3 linked regions of the Coturnix japonica genome follow. The protein of the gene in region 3 binds, or shares a complex with, the protein of the main gene of each other region. Links are inferred from orthologs where the notes say so. Each region holds a gene or a part of one and is shown on either strand. Other genes may lie near its edges.

The links.
Region 1: the proteins of TNPO3 (region 3) and CIRBP are in contact, whole or in part, in a crystal structure (PDB 8CMK), measured with the Homo sapiens proteins. The link is inferred for Coturnix japonica from reciprocal best matches to the Homo sapiens genes TNPO3 and CIRBP. Residues at the interface, in NP_036602.1 of Homo sapiens: Arg620, Glu660, Arg661, Cys663, Arg664, Arg667, Phe668, Arg671, Ser698, Cys699, Tyr702, Ser705, Ile706, Asp709, Glu710, Asp747, Asp750, Asp751, Arg754, Arg758; in NP_001271.1 of Homo sapiens: Tyr160, Arg161, Ser163, Tyr164, Asp165, Ser166, Tyr167, Ala168.
Region 2: the proteins of TNPO3 (region 3) and SRSF1 are in contact, whole or in part, in a crystal structure (PDB 4C0O), measured with the Homo sapiens proteins. The link is inferred for Coturnix japonica from reciprocal best matches to the Homo sapiens genes TNPO3 and SRSF1. Residues at the interface, in NP_036602.1 of Homo sapiens: His155, Arg157, Arg160, Thr167, Tyr254, Ile256, Glu257, Glu304, Glu340, Ile341, Phe343, Asn344, Tyr347, Arg348, Glu351, His352, Lys355, Thr356, Arg620, Asn656, Glu660, Arg661, Arg664, Arg667, Phe668, Arg671, Ser698, Cys699, Tyr702, Ile706; in NP_008855.1 of Homo sapiens: Ser116, Arg117, Arg118, Ser133, Trp134, Gln135, Lys138, Asp139, Arg142, Glu143, Gly145, Asp146, Cys148, Tyr149, Ala150, Asp151, Val152, Tyr153, Arg154, Val172, Arg173, Asp176, Asn177, Arg181, His183, Tyr189, Ile190, Arg191, Arg198, Pro200.

What each region holds. Positions count from the first base shown.
Region 1 is NC_029543.1:2,135,866-2,140,860, reverse strand, and holds the start of CIRBP (cold-inducible RNA-binding protein), read right to left. Parts: upstream 3,170-4,995; 5' UTR 3,038-3,169; intron 2,574-3,037; 5' UTR 2,568-2,573; coding exon 2,465-2,567; intron 2,376-2,464; coding exon 2,269-2,375; intron 1,404-2,268; coding exon 1,265-1,403; intron 1,174-1,264; coding exon 1,089-1,173; intron 968-1,088; coding exon 826-967; 3' UTR 407-825; coding exon of another isoform or gene 390-406; 3' UTR 1-389. UniProt on the Homo sapiens protein: Cold-inducible mRNA binding protein that plays a protective role in the genotoxic stress response by stabilizing transcripts of genes involved in cell survival. Acts as a translational activator.
Region 2 is NC_029534.1:7,446,176-7,451,488, forward strand, and holds the start of SRSF1 (serine/arginine-rich splicing factor 1), read left to right. Parts: upstream 1-2,046; 5' UTR 2,047-2,202; coding exon 2,203-2,396; intron 2,397-2,739; coding exon 2,740-2,924; intron 2,925-3,281; coding exon 3,282-3,454; exon of another isoform or gene 3,455-3,723; coding exon 3,724-3,918; 3' UTR 3,919-5,313. UniProt on the Homo sapiens protein: Plays a role in preventing exon skipping, ensuring the accuracy of splicing and regulating alternative splicing.
Region 3 is NC_029516.1:719,996-724,079, reverse strand, and holds part of TNPO3 (transportin-3), read left to right. Parts: intron 1-54; coding exon 55-149; intron 150-748; coding exon 749-905; intron 906-1,802; coding exon 1,803-1,970; intron 1,971-2,614; coding exon 2,615-2,727; intron 2,728-3,144; coding exon 3,145-3,205; 3' UTR 3,206-3,241; intron 3,242-4,084. UniProt on the Homo sapiens protein: Importin, which transports target proteins into the nucleus. Specifically mediates the nuclear import of splicing factor serine/arginine (SR) proteins, such as RBM4, SFRS1 and SFRS2, by recognizing phosphorylated SR domains.

The sequences.
Region 1 (4,995 bases), on a different chromosome or scaffold from region 3:
GAACGTTGGGTTAAAAGGTCCTTTCTATCTGAAAAGAAACTGAATTATGGGGGCCCCAACTTCATGCCTTTCTATGTAAGAAAAAAAAACACCTTGGCTCATCGTGTTCGAACAAAATCTGAAGTGCTTTCCAAAAGAGATTAAAAAAAAAACCCACTCGAAAGCAGAGCCTTCCTAAAAGGAATCAAGTCTCATCAGACCCATCTGGTTTATCAGAAGCTGTCAGGCTGTGTTTTTTGTTTTCTTTTTGACAAGATTAGAACTGATAATACTACAAAAGTGGAAAATACAAGTAAGATGTACTACACAATAATAACCATTTCAGCGAAGCTCCAAAAATCTTTATAAATACAGCCATTGGAAGGACGATCTTGAGTCAGGAAGGATTTTTACTCGTTGTGTGTAGCTGAGGACAAGAAGCAGGCACAATTGTAAAGGCACTGAAGCATAGACAAGTTCCACCAGCATTTTAACTCCCTTGCATTATTCCAGCAGCTAAAGTGTGCTACCATGTCAGAGAACTCCCCCACCCTTGAATGCAGTTTGTCAGGGCTTCCTTGTTTTTTTTTTTGGTTTAGTCTCAAGCTCCAAGAATGAATTTAAAAGAAAGAAAGGAAAAGAAAAAAAAACAACAACTTGCTTTTTTGCCTTTAGATCCAAGCAACTCCTCCAACATGCATTACAAATTAAAAAGACATTATAAAACGGCACAACCGCCATCTCCAAAAGCCTGACAAGATTGGTTCTTATGGCCAAGGAAAAGAAAAAGGGGGGAAGGGGAGGGGGGGCACAGGCCAAAGCTGAACCTCAGAGCATTTCCAGACATCACAACAGGGTCAGAAGGTTTAGAGAGTTCCTACAGCAACGTACGCATGGCTCCCATTTGAACCAGGACTTACCGTAACTGTCGTAGCTGTCTCTGTAGGAGCCTCCTGAAGACCTGTCTCCATAGCCACCTTGACTCCTGCTGTTGGAAACATTCAGGCGCTTTATATTTGCTCGGCAGCTTGTGCAGCCTGCTGGCATTGCTGCCTGTCAGGCACTAAGAGCTCAGTAACAAGCCAGGCTAGCAGTCACAATAGCATTACCTGCTATTATAGTAGTCTCTGGAGCCATTATATCCTCCACTTCTGGAGTCAAATCTGCTCCCACCGTAGCCTCTGTCTCCACCTCCTGGAACACACACCATGTTTATGGTTTCTCCTCCAGCACATTGACAGACACCACCCCCATCCCAAGCAGATCAACCCCAATGTGTGCTCACCTCTGGAGAAGCCACGGCCCCGACCTCTGCCCCCACGGAAGAAGCCCCTGCCCCCGGTGGATCCCCCTCTGTAGCCTCGGGATCTGTTCTCTGATGATTTTCCAGCTTGATCGACTCTGATCTGACGGCCATCTACAGACTAATGAGCAGAAAGATAAATCAGCTCACGTACAATGCACGGCTTTGCTCCCAGTGAAGCAACACTGGAGTTTCAATAGCAGTATGTACTGGTTTGCAACACTGCAACTGAGATGACGACACATAGAGATGGATTCTCATGCATTACAAAGATGCTCTTAAAAAGAAGGCTGCCAGGTGACCTCATTGCAGCCTTTCAGTACCTAAAGGGGCCTACAAACAGACAGGAGGGCACTTCACTACAAGGGGGACAAGAGGAAAGCAAGCAGGACAAGGGGAAATGCTTTTAAGTCAAACAAGAGAGGATTTAGATTGGATTTCAGGGGGAATTTCTTTACTATGAGAATGGGGAGGTGCAGGAACAGCTGCCCAGAAAGGCTGTGGATGCCCCATTTATCTCTGGAGGTGTTTAAGGCCAGGCTGGATGGGGCCTGAGCAGCTTGGGCTGGTATTAAATATAAAGGCTGGCAGCCCTGCCTGCAGCAGAGCGACTGGAGTTTCACAATCCACAATTCCAACCCAAACCATTCTGTGATCACAGCTTCAGCCTTCTTCAGAACGCAGCAGCACAACAGGATTTCACTAAGCCACGTTGCTCTGCTGTTTCTTTGGGAAGACCCCAGTGTTTATCTGTATTATCTCATGGCTTCAAACAGAAGCATGCCTAAATTGCTTCCTGATTCCTGCAGGCATTCAAGGCCAGGATGGATGTGGCTCTGGGCAGCCTTATCTGGTGGTTGGTGACCCTGCACATGGGCAGGGGGGATGAAAATAGATGATCATTGTGATCCTTTTCAACCCAGACTATTCTATGAGCCTATAATTCTTAAGGGGGAGAAAAACCAGCTCCAGCAGACCCTGCTTACCTTCCCATTCATGGCCATCATTGCATCCTTTGCATCATCTATGTTTTCAAACGTCACAAAGCCGAAGCCTCTGGACCTCTGGGTTTCTCTGTCTTTCACCACCACCACTGGAGGAGAGAACAGCCACCATCAGAACCCAGCACAGAACTGCAGCAGAACCCAGCACATCCCCGCAGCCCCCATAACATGCCCTCACCTTCAGAGATCTGCCCGTACTTGGAGAAAACCTGCTCCAGCGACTGCTCGTTGGTGTCAAAGCTCAGCCCTCCGACGAACAGCTTGCCTTCATCTGATGCCATCGTGACCTACCGAACCAACCAGCCTCGTATCAACATCATATCAACGCCTCAACCGACGGGTCCTCCCAGCCGCCAGGGGGCGATATGCGCCGCGCCACCAGCACCGCGCATGCGCGCACCCACAGGGGGGGCCTCGCCACGCGGACCCCCGCCCGGCTCGGGACCCCCCACCCCGCGCGCATGCGCAGTGCGACGCCCCTCCTCCCTCCCGCCGCCATTTTGCACGGCCGAGGCCCGTCGCCATTTTGTTTCCAGGCGCCCCTTCACGCTCCAACACCGCGGCCATCCCGCACTAGGCCGCACCGCCCGCAGCTATACAAGGCCCGGCGGTGCAAAGCCGCCCCATTTTGGGCCGAGACACCGAACCGAACCCCCACCTCCATCGGGAACATGTTATCCTCCATGCACAGCTCCGAATCAATCCCCCCACACCCCCAGCAGCCGCCCCACGCGTGTCAGTGGGCGCTTACCGGTGTGCGGGACCGCGAACACCACCCTGCACTTCAAAGCCTCAGCGCGACGAACGCGGCGGATGGCGGGGCGGCGGCTTATATAGTCCCGCTCCAGGCCCCGCCTACTTCATGAATATGCAAATTTGAATTCGCCAGGGGGCGGGGCGAATGACGTCACCAAAGCGCCGCCGCTGCGTCGCCGTCTGATTGGATAGTATCTTGTTAATATTCATGAGGGGAGAGGGGAGGAGGGAGCGCGAACAAAACCCCGCCGGCAGCTCCGCCCACGAGGGGGCGTGGCCTGGAGCGCGACGCTGATTGGCTGAGAGCGCCCAGCCCGTTGGCCGCGGGAGCCCCTGTGAGGAGGAAGGAAGTGGAGGCCTCTGATTGGCCGCCCACCTCCTTATCCCCGCCCCCTGGCGGCCGGCACGCCCAATGGGGTGTGGCTACGCTGCCCCAGTTTCGCGCCCTTCGCAGCAATGCGGCGCTGCAGACAAAGGGGCGCCTGAGGGGGCGGCCGCCATCTTGGGTATGATCCCGGCCTGCGTTTATACGGCCCTACGAGCAGCCCTGTCCGACGTGCCGTCCTCTATCCCTTCCCTAAGGGATACCCTGAGAGGGTGGCCCAGCTCTCAGTGCTGTCCGAAGGAGCCAGGCCTTCAAACCTCAGCGCTATGCAGCCCGAGGTCCTGGTGCGGCCTAGTCCCTCTGTATGCGGCCTAGGCTCCTCGCTGTGGTGGTTCCTGAGGAGAAACGATGGCGATTATAAAACAAAACTCAGCCCTGTTTGCACTGAAATGTTTAATGAGAGTCTGCACTGGTGTATATTGACAGTACAACTTACCTAGAGCTGCATGAAGAGCCCTGTGCCACCAACAGCAACGCTGTGCAGGGGTTAAAATGGACTTATCAGAGCTACACAGCACAGGTGAGGCCCAGAGGAGAGGAGATGGAAGAGCCATTGGTCAGAGGAGGGTTGTATGTGTCTATTAAATGCATCCAATGTGCTTGGATGGAAAAGGGGAAGGTCGGACCCTTGGGAATCACTGGAGCAGCAGTTAGAAATGGTGATGATGGGCACAAAGCTTTGTAGCCTGGCTCACAGCTGAGTGCTGCTCACAGCTGTGCTCCGTGCCCTTCAGCACAGCCCTGAGCTCAGCCCTTCTACAGCCTTCTGATTAAATGAGGGTGGTGTTAACGCCAGCACTCTGCAATGAGGTTGGATAGAGTGACCTTGACACACTGATCTGTTTCAATGCTCCAGGTGCATTCTGGCCCCACCAGGACTGAGTGCTGTGGGTTGCAGTATTTGGGGCTCTCCTTGCAGAGGATTCATCCCCAAAAAGCTGAGGACACAGCGGTGACAACGTCCTTCCTTTGGCATAACCGGAGCTGCTCCATTAACAGCAGAAATCACCTGTGTTGCCCCAGATCTGCTGCTCTCCAAGGGTTTCTCCTGCTCCAGATCTGCTTGTTCCCTCTGACCCAAGCATGAGCCACAAAGCAGAGCAGCCTCTCCTTGCACTGCAGGGCTGCAGCCAAAAGCAGCACCGGGAGCAGCTCTGCAAGCTTGTTAAGGCAGCTAATTGTGTGATGAGATGTAACGTGTGTGTCACCAGAGCCAACCTCCCTGCAGCAGCAGCAGCTGGCACAGACACAGCCCTGCTCACTGTGTCCCCAAATACTCCTTGGCACAACGAGGTGATGAAGGACAGGAGGACAGAGGGACCCTCGCATCTGTTGCACCCTGCAGCCCCATTCCTGCCCACAGGACAAAACGATTCCATTCTCTCTTCCTACCATCCCCTCGGGGAGCTGCTCATCCAGTTTTGCAGTGCAGGAAACAAGAAGAAAAGGCCTGATGCAATCCCAGCGTTGCCATGGTAAGGAGTGTTGCTGCTGCATTTCCCCTCTGTGATTGATTTACAGTGACCATGTTGGAGCACAGCACACCCACCCCATACATGGCATCCATT
Region 2 (5,313 bases), on a different chromosome or scaffold from region 3:
CAAAAGAAATTGTGCAGCAGGGTTTTAGCAAACCAGGCAGATTCACCATTATCTTATGACGCCTTTAAGAATAACATCCAGCATTTATTAAACCCCATTCCCAGGCTTAGGCTGCAGCTTTCTCCAGACATGGGGAGAGTTTGTTTGGGGTCTTTGCAACCAGTTCACACTGGAAAGCATTAAAGCTCCATAAAGATGCAGGAAATCCCCCAGAACCATGAGCTGTATGTGGGTAAAGCACCGCTTCTGCTGGTGGGCTTTGCTCATCACATCCTCCTGTGGTTGACAGCAGTCTTTAAAGCACCAGCAATGCAGCACAGGCATCACTAATGTCAGAAACCATTAGAGCAGAGGACGTTACTGCACTTTAACCCACAGGGACAAAAATAAAAGGCATTGATAATAACCAAGCACACTATAACTTTGTCATGAAAATGTTTTCACTATGGGATGTTTTCTAACTGTAAGTCACTGTCTGTGGGAGGAATACACGCTTTGAATTAACAAATGAAAACAAAGTGAGCACAACAGCCACTGCTAAATGCTCGGACACATTCCTCAAACTCCCCTCATCAACTCAGGAGCATAATGGCTTTTCTCCATGCTCAGCTGCTGTTTCCCCATCCCTGTGGTGCTGAGATTCAGCCCTCCAGCACCAGGCAGGCTCAGCGGTGCTGGATGCAGGCAGGCAACCACTGTGTGCCCCAGTGCCACTTCCAGCCCTCAATGCATTGCCACATCTGCAAAGCAAAGCACAACGTCCAGGCAGCCAAGTGTGAGCCAACAGAGCAGGGACTGCTCTGCCCTCATGGGTCAGGCAAAGACTTTATGCTGTATTAAAGAAAGAAAAGTGGATGTTGGAGTTTCTGTGTCACCACAGAGCAGCTACAGGCCAAAAGAATTCTTGTTGTTAAACCAAAGCCTGGCTCATCTAATTGCACCCTCATTACTTAAAAGCAATTTATACGTTCAAAATTACATCTGCTGCCTGAAGAAATGTCAGAGACGTGTGAGTAACAAGGGTAACATCCCGGTGTGTTACTGTGCCTTCACATCAATTACAACCTCATCAAGAAAACAAACTCAGCACGGCGTTATTCTCGTGCCCCCATAGTTCGGCTGTGCTCATAGGAAGGTTCTGCCCATAGTTAGGCTGTGCCCTTAGGCCGGCTCTGCTCACACCCGTACACAGCGCCCGCCATCGCCCCCAGTTCCGCTCGTTTCCCACCCGCCCGGTGTTTGCACTGCTGTTCCATTCATGACTCAGTCCCCATCACACCCTGCCGTGTTCCTGCCCTTTATTCGTATCCCGTTGCCGTCCCGCTGCCCGCCCCGCCGCGTTCCCCTGAGGCGGGCGGTGACGCGGTGCCCGCTCCGTGCCCTCGGGGCGGCCATTTTGCCTCCGCACCGAGCCCGTCCCAACCGTCCCACACAGTGTCCGCTGAGCGGCTGACGGACCCACACGGCCCGCTCCCCGTGCACCCCGTGCAGCCGCAGGGCGGATCCGCCCGCAGCGCTTCGTGCGGACACGGATCGGTTCGGACCGGCCGGGAATGGACGCTCAGTACCGAGCCCGCCCGCCCAGCGCTGCGCACGGCCCGACCCGCCCGCGGTGCATTGTGGGCCGGGCCACGCCCCGCGCCTTGGCGCCAAGAGCCCCGAGCGGCGCGGTGCATTGTGGGACACCCCCAGCGCCGGCCGGGACTTCTTGGCGCGAGCGCCGCACCGGAAGTGACGTCACACGGCCCGGCGCCCTGAGACGGCAGCGGAAAGAAGCGCGGCGGTCCCGGTGCGGACAGCGGGGATCGGAGGCGGATATTCACGTTCATCCCGACCTCGCTGGCAGGAGCGGAGCCTCTTGTGCGGCCACAGCCGCTTTGGCGGAGCAGCGGAGGCGAAAGGCAAAAGAGAGGAACTACTTTTCCGCGCTGCCGCGCATGCGCGAGGGCGAGAGCGCGGCGGGATACTCGGAACGCATTGCGGTCTCGCGGCCCGGCGGTGCTGCGGCGCGGGGTGAGAGAGATCAGTGCGCGAGATCAGTGCGCGCTGCGAGCGCGAGGGGAGCCGCGGTCGCCATTTTGAAGCGGCGGTTGCTGGAGTCGCCGTGTCCGCTCCCGTCCGCACGGCCCGGCCCCGCGCCCGCCCGCCCGCCCGCGCTCCGCGCCCCGGCCCCTGAACGCCGCAGCCATTGCCGACCTCGGCATGTCCGGAGGGGGCGTGATCCGCGGCCCGGCCGGCAATAACGACTGCCGCATCTACGTGGGCAACCTGCCCCCCGACATCCGCACCAAGGACATCGAGGACGTGTTCTACAAATACGGCGCCATCCGCGACATCGACCTGAAGAACCGCCGCGGGGGGCCGCCCTTCGCCTTCGTGGAGTTCGAGGACCCGAGGTGAGCGCCGCGGGGCCCTGGGGCACGGGCGGGAACGGCTCCGCCGGGCGCCGATACCCCCCCCCTCCATTCCCTCCCTTCCTCCACGCGCGGCGCCGCTCCCGCTGCGCGCTATTCCACACACACACACACACACACACACACACACACACGCTCGGCTCGTTGCGCTCCGGGCCCGGCGCGGTGCCGCCGCTGGGGGTGGCGGTGATGGCGGTGATGGTGGTTGTGGTGCTGATGGTGGTGGTGGGGGCGGGGTGGGGCCGCGGGTATTGGGAACAAAGGCGCTGCGGGGGGCGGCGCGTGGCAGGGCGCGGCCGCGCTCACCGCCCGTCCCGACCCGCAGGGACGCCGAGGACGCCGTGTACGGGCGGGACGGTTACGATTACGATGGGTATCGCCTCCGCGTGGAGTTCCCTCGCAGCGGCCGGGGGACCGGCAGAGGAGGCGGCGGCGGCGGAGGGGGCGGAGCCCCGCGGGGCAGATACGGCCCCCCGTCCCGGCGATCGGAGTACAGAGTGATCGTCTCGGGTGAGTCGCTGCTCTCTTCCCCCGGGTCCTTCGTGCTGCCGTGCGCGGGGGGCGACGCGGCTCCGCTTTTCCCTGCGAAGCCTCGGGATGGGGGAGGGGTGCTGGATGCTGTGGGCTGTGTGCAGGGTGTTCTGCTCGTGTGCTGCGGGATGATGCTGGAATTGCAACACCGGAGGCCTTGGGTTCGAATCCCCTGTGGCGCAAGTGGCAGAAGTGCCGCTCTGCTACACAGAAGGCTCAAATCGCGGGGGGTTGGACTCGATGATGTCTAAGGTCCCTTCCAACCCGCACGAGACTGTGATACTATGATATGATCGCACCATTGGGTTTTAAAGCCAGGTGTTGCTTTTTATCCAGGACTGCCTCCAAGTGGAAGTTGGCAGGATTTAAAGGATCACATGCGTGAAGCAGGTGATGTATGTTATGCTGATGTTTTCCGAGATGGAACTGGTGTCGTGGAGTTTGTACGGAAGGAAGATATGACCTACGCTGTGCGAAAACTGGATAACACTAAGTTTAGATCTCATGAGGTAGGTTTCACGCTTACTTGTTTTTGGCCAGAATTGGATACAAAGGGCTTAACAGTAGGATGTGAAGGTAAGGAATGTGTGGTGATCATTGCGTTAATACACGAAGCAGCTAAACTGAGTCTGCTGTCAGTTTGTCACGAAATAGACTTTATTAAGAGTTTGATGTCTATTTCTGTGCCTTAGTAAAGATATCTGCAGTCTGTCAGCATGCCTAAAACGATGGCCCCGAAGCCTAGACCTTTCAATCGAAAGTTGTGTCTATTCAATAGGGAGAAACTGCCTACATCCGTGTTAAAGTTGATGGTCCAAGAAGTCCAAGCTATGGAAGATCTCGGTCACGCAGCCGTAGTCGTAGCAGAAGCCGTAGTCGAAGCAACAGCAGAAGCCGCAGTTATTCCCCAAGAAGAAGCAGAGGATCTCCACGCTACTCTCCCCGCCACAGCAGATCCCGATCTCGTACATAAGCGATCACTAGCTCTGATCTTTTTGTAGAACCCCATGTTGTACACAGTTTTCCTTTACTCAGTACAGTCTTTCAATATTATTTTTTTTTAAATTCAAGCTGTTTTATTCAGATTGGCTGAAGTGTTGAATTGCATTCTTGTGTAAAATCCCTAGTGAGTATTTGCTCCGTAACAACAACATTCCCCCTCATGTCTTTGGTAAACTGTATTTTAATTGATGTCAGTCAGGATTGTTTCAATTTAGTTCTAGTTAAATACCAACACTCTTCAAACTGTGGTATTGCTGTGTAAATGTCTCAGTGTTCAGCTATGGTTCATGCGAGCTGGGGATGTTGGGATGTTTGTGGCTAACTTGTCTCTTCTGGGGGATCTTATATTTTATCTTGCCTTTTCGTGTGTCTTTCTGTAGACATATCTGAAGAGATGGATTAAGAATGCTTTGGATTAAAGGATTGTGGAGCACATGTCAATCATTTTAGGATTGTCAAAAGGAGGATTGAGGAGGATCAGATCAATAATGGAGGCAATGGTATGACTCCAAGTGCTATTGTCACAGATGAACTTGGCAGTATTGACCTTATACTGAGACAGGTGAATTGAGAACGTGCGCCTGCGTGTCACTTCTTCAGGCACCTCTTGGTCACTGCGGGCTGCAATTGCTCTGTTCTTTAAAACCCTCTTGGCAATTGTGGCTCAGTACTTGCCGGTGTAATTCCTTATTCCATTCTAGTCTTTTTTTAAAGGAGTAAACCGGGACAGGGGTGGGAGCATTGGTTTGTCCCGCGGCATTTGGTTCCAAGCGTTAACGGCCCGCAGTACTTCCACGCTTGCGGATCAAGGGTATCTTTAAATGGGAGTATAATATCAATACTGCTAAAATCTGCATGTCCTCTGTGTGACTGATACAGCGTTGCTATTTCATTTCTTTTAAGTATCAGAATGAAAGGGAAAAAAGCCAAAAACCCAAATCCTAAGAGAACCTGGTTGGGAATCGTTTGTCAGCCCTTCCCCAGCCTAATTCAGAGCTGACTCACCGTATTGAGAGCTGCAGTTAGTTCCTCTGTTACCTTCCAGCCGGGGGTGCTGGCCGTAGCTGAGAGGCGCAGTAGGTGACAGCTTTAGCAGTAAAACTTTTCCAATTTCATAAACATTTTTTGCAACCACAGAAGCTGTAGAGCACCACCGTACGAGCAATGAGTATGTTGGCATTTTTAGTTGACATATGTAAATATTGCAGTGTTTCCTCCAAATAATTAACGTTTCTTAAAGAGAACAAAAGATATAGCATCACCATTCAGAAGCTTGTTTTGGGGAATTGATAGTTATTACTGTACATCTGTATTAATTGATGGCAAACATAACTGATCATTCCCCAGAATCCTATTTTTTCATTGC
Region 3 (4,084 bases):
AGGATGCCCAATTAATTGCCAAGGAGCCTTAATGACTGGTGTGTCCCCCCCCAGGCTCTTTGCATCCCCACCTTCCAGCTCCTTGAGCAGCCCAGTGGCCTCCAGAACCATCCCGACACCGTGGATGATCTTTTCCGCCTCGCAGCCAGGTACCTGTGTCCCCACATCCCAAAATAGCCATGTCCTCCATGTCCCTGAATCCACACATCCCCATGTCCTCCATATCTCCATGTTCCTGCATCTCTGTGTCATCTACATTTCTGTATCTGCATGTCTACAAGTCCTCCGTGTCTCTCTGTCCCTGCATTTTCTTGTCCCCAAGTCCTTTATGTCCCCGTGTCTAACTGTCCCTGCATACCCATGTCCCCGCATCTCCATGTCCCCCATTTCCTGCATCCCCATCTCCTTTTTGTTTCCCTGTCCCACATGATATCCCCATAACATGCTGTCACCACATCCCCCTGACCCCATGTCACATTATATCTTCCTATCCCTCTCCCCAGAACCCATTGTCCCCTGTCCCAATGTACCCATATCCCCCCGTCCTCACCCCCTTGCCCCCCCCATCATATCCCCCCATCCCTTTGTACCCATACCCCCCTGTCCCATTCTCCCCACATCATATCCTTCTGTCCCCATGCTCCGCCCGTCCCCACACTCCATCCCCATGTCATATCCCCACACTCTCCTCTCCCTGTACCCCCCACCCCCCTTCCCCCCGCCCCCGTGGCACTGTCCCTGTCCCCAGGTTCATCCAGCGCAGCCCGGTGACGCTGCTGCGCAGCCAGGTGATGATCCCCATCCTGCAATGGGCCATCGCCGCCACCACGCTGGACCACCGCGACGCCAACTGCAGCGTCATGAAGTTCCTGCGTGACCTCGTGCACACCGGGGTGGCCAATGATGTGAGTGGGGTGGGATGGGGGGAAGGGGACAGGGAGCCGAGATTTGGGGTTGAAAGAGAACACGGGGAAGGATGTGACGTTGGGAGAGAATGTGGGGTTGGGTTGGGATGTGGGATTGTAGATTGATGTAGGTTGAGAGGGGATGTGGGATTGAGTTGGGAGAGGATGTGGGATTGGGAGAGGATGTGGGATTGGGAGAGGATATAGGTTGAGAGGGGATGTGGGATTGAGTTGGGAGAGGATGTGGGATTGGGAGAGGATATGGGTTTGAGTTGGAAGAGAACATAAGGTTGGATTGGAAGAGGAAGTGGGATTGGAAGAGGATGTGTGGTTGGGAGGTCAAAAGAGGATGTAGTATTGGGAGAGGATGTAGGATTGGGTTTGTTGCGGTTGTAGGGTTAGATTTGGGACTGGTTGGGACATAGGATTGGGGTAAGAGAGGAAGTTGGGGTTGGAGGTGATGTGGGTTAGGGTTAGAATTTTGGGGTTAGGGTTTGGAGATTTGGGGATGGCATGATGTGGAGATGATGGTGGGTTGGGATTGAAGATGGTGTGGGGTCAGAGATTTATGGCTAGAAATGTAGGGTTAGGGAGTGAAGGTTTGAGGTCAGTTTTAGGGTTAGAGTAAGGGTTAGAATTGTGGGGCTGGACTTGTTTCGGGCTCAGGGTTTGGGTTTTAGGATTAGGTGAAGATAAAGGTTTTAGGGTCAGGGTTTTAGGGTTATGGTTAGCATTAGGGTTAAGCTTAGGGTTTTAGGCTTAGGGTGTTAGGGTTAAGATTAGGGTTTGGGTTTTAGAGTTAGGGTTTGAAGGTTGTGGTTTCTGGTTTGGGGTTTTAGGATTAGTGTTAAGATTAGGGTTTCAGGCTCGGGATCCTCATACCTCATCCCCCTGCAGCACGAGGAGGACTTTGAGCTGCGCACGGAGCTGATAGCGCAGGTGCTGCGGCAGCTGGGGCAGCAGCTCGTCTCGCAGCTCCTGCACACCTGCTGCTTCTGCCTGCCACCCTACACACTGCCTGACGTGGCCGAGGTGCTCTGGGAGATCATGCAGAGCGACCGCGCGGTGAGCACACGTCACCATGTCCCCTCTGTCCCCACAGCCTCACGTCCCCTCTGTCTTCACAACCCCATGTCTCCAACATCCCCATGTCCTTGTCCCCATATCCCCAGCATCCTCACGCTCCTTTATCCCTGTGTCACCCATATCTCTGTATCCTCACATCCCCCAGATCCCTGCATCTTTGTGTCCCCATGTCCCCCGCATCTCTGTGTCCCCATGTCCCTATACCCCTAGCTCCTCCACATTCCCAAATCTCAGTGTCCCCACACCCTCATGTCCACCAGATCTCCATGTCCCTATATCCCTATGTTCCTCACATACCCATGTCCCCAAGTCCTCAATGGGCCTGTGTCCTTGCATCCCCCCATCTCCATATCTCTGCAGCTCCACATCCCTGTGTCACCACATCCCTGTGTTTCTATATCCTTTATGTCCCTCACATCTCCATGTCCCTGCTTTCCTGTATCCCTATATCCCTACTTCTCTGTGTCCCCATGTCCCCACATTCCTGTGTCCCTACGTGTGCCCACATGTCCCTGCATAACTGTGTCACCCACATCCCTATGGTGTCCCCATGTTCCCCCATCCCACAGAGTGACCCAGGGGGAGCACAGTACCCTCCTCTCACTTTTCTCCCCTCCCTTCAGACCTTCTGTCGGTGGCTGGAGAACTCCCTGAAGGCACTGCCAAAGGAGACGACAGGGGGGGCCATCCAGGTGACGCACAAGCAGCTGACAGATTTCCACAAGCAGGTGACGAGGTGAGAGCCCAGAGACCCCAGTTAGTGCTGGGAGCCTTGCTCTCAATTAGTGACCAGAGTCTGGACCCCATTATCTGATGGGACCCCAGACCTCAATCTGGGATCAGAGCCTGGACCCTGATATCTGATGTGACCCTAGACTCCAATATCTGATGGGATCCCAAACCCCAATTTGGGATCAGAGCCCTGACCCTTATAACTGGTGGGACCCCAAACCCCATCTTGAGATGAGATCCCATACCCTGGTGTCTGATGACCACAGACTAAAATTTGGAATCAGAGCCTGGACCCCAATATCTGATGGAATTGCAGACCTCAGTTTGGGATCAGAGCCCACACCCCAGTATCTCATGGGACCCCAGCCCCCTATGTGTCCCTGTGTGTCTCCCACCCCTCTAACACCTCCTCCCTTTGCAGTGCGGAGGAATGTAAGCAGGTCTGCTGGGCTCTGCGGGACTTCACACGCCTGTTCCGATAGCCTGCGCCCTGCACCCGGCACGGCGCCTGCTCCCAGGTAAGGCAGAGGAGACCAGAGGCCACCATGGGGGCAGCAGACCCCCAGGGGCATTGCTGGGGCTGGGGACATCACATTGGGATGGGGGAATTGTGTGGAATTGGGTTGCATTGGGGACATCATGTTGGGTTGAAGACATGGCACACTGTATTGGGTTGAGGACACTGTTGTATAGATTCAGCTGGGGATGTTGGACTGGGGACATTGCTCTGGGATGGGGATATTATGCTGTGTTGGGGACATGATACTGTGTCGGGGACATTGATTTGGGTTCATTTGGGGACATCGTGTTGGGATGGAGCCATCAAATTGGGTTGGGAACATGGCACTGGGTTGAGGTCATTGTTCTAGGTTCAGCTGGGGACATCACATCAGGTTGAGGTCATGGGCCTTTGTTGGGAACATTGTGCTTGGCTGGGGATGTTGTGTTGAGTTGGATTGGTGACATGGTGCTAAGTTGGGGTGGGGATGTTGTGCTGGGTTGGGGGGCCTGGTGCTGGGTTGGATAGGGGACATGGTGCTGGGTTGGGGACATTGTGCTTTATTGGGGACAATGTTCTGGGTTTGATCAGGGACATTGCATTGGGTTGGGACATGGCACTGTTGGGTTGGAGGACATCATGTTGGGTTGGGGACATTGGGTTAGGTTGAGGACATTGAGTTGGGATGAGTTGGGGACGTGGTGTTGGGATGGGGACGTGGTGTTGGGTTGGGGGCATCAAGTTGGGATGGGGATGGGGTGTTGGGTTGGGGTCATCAAGTTGGGTTGGGGACATGGTGCTGGTTGGGGACATGGTGCTGGTTGGGGACATGGTGCTGGTTGGGGACATGGTGCTGGTTGGG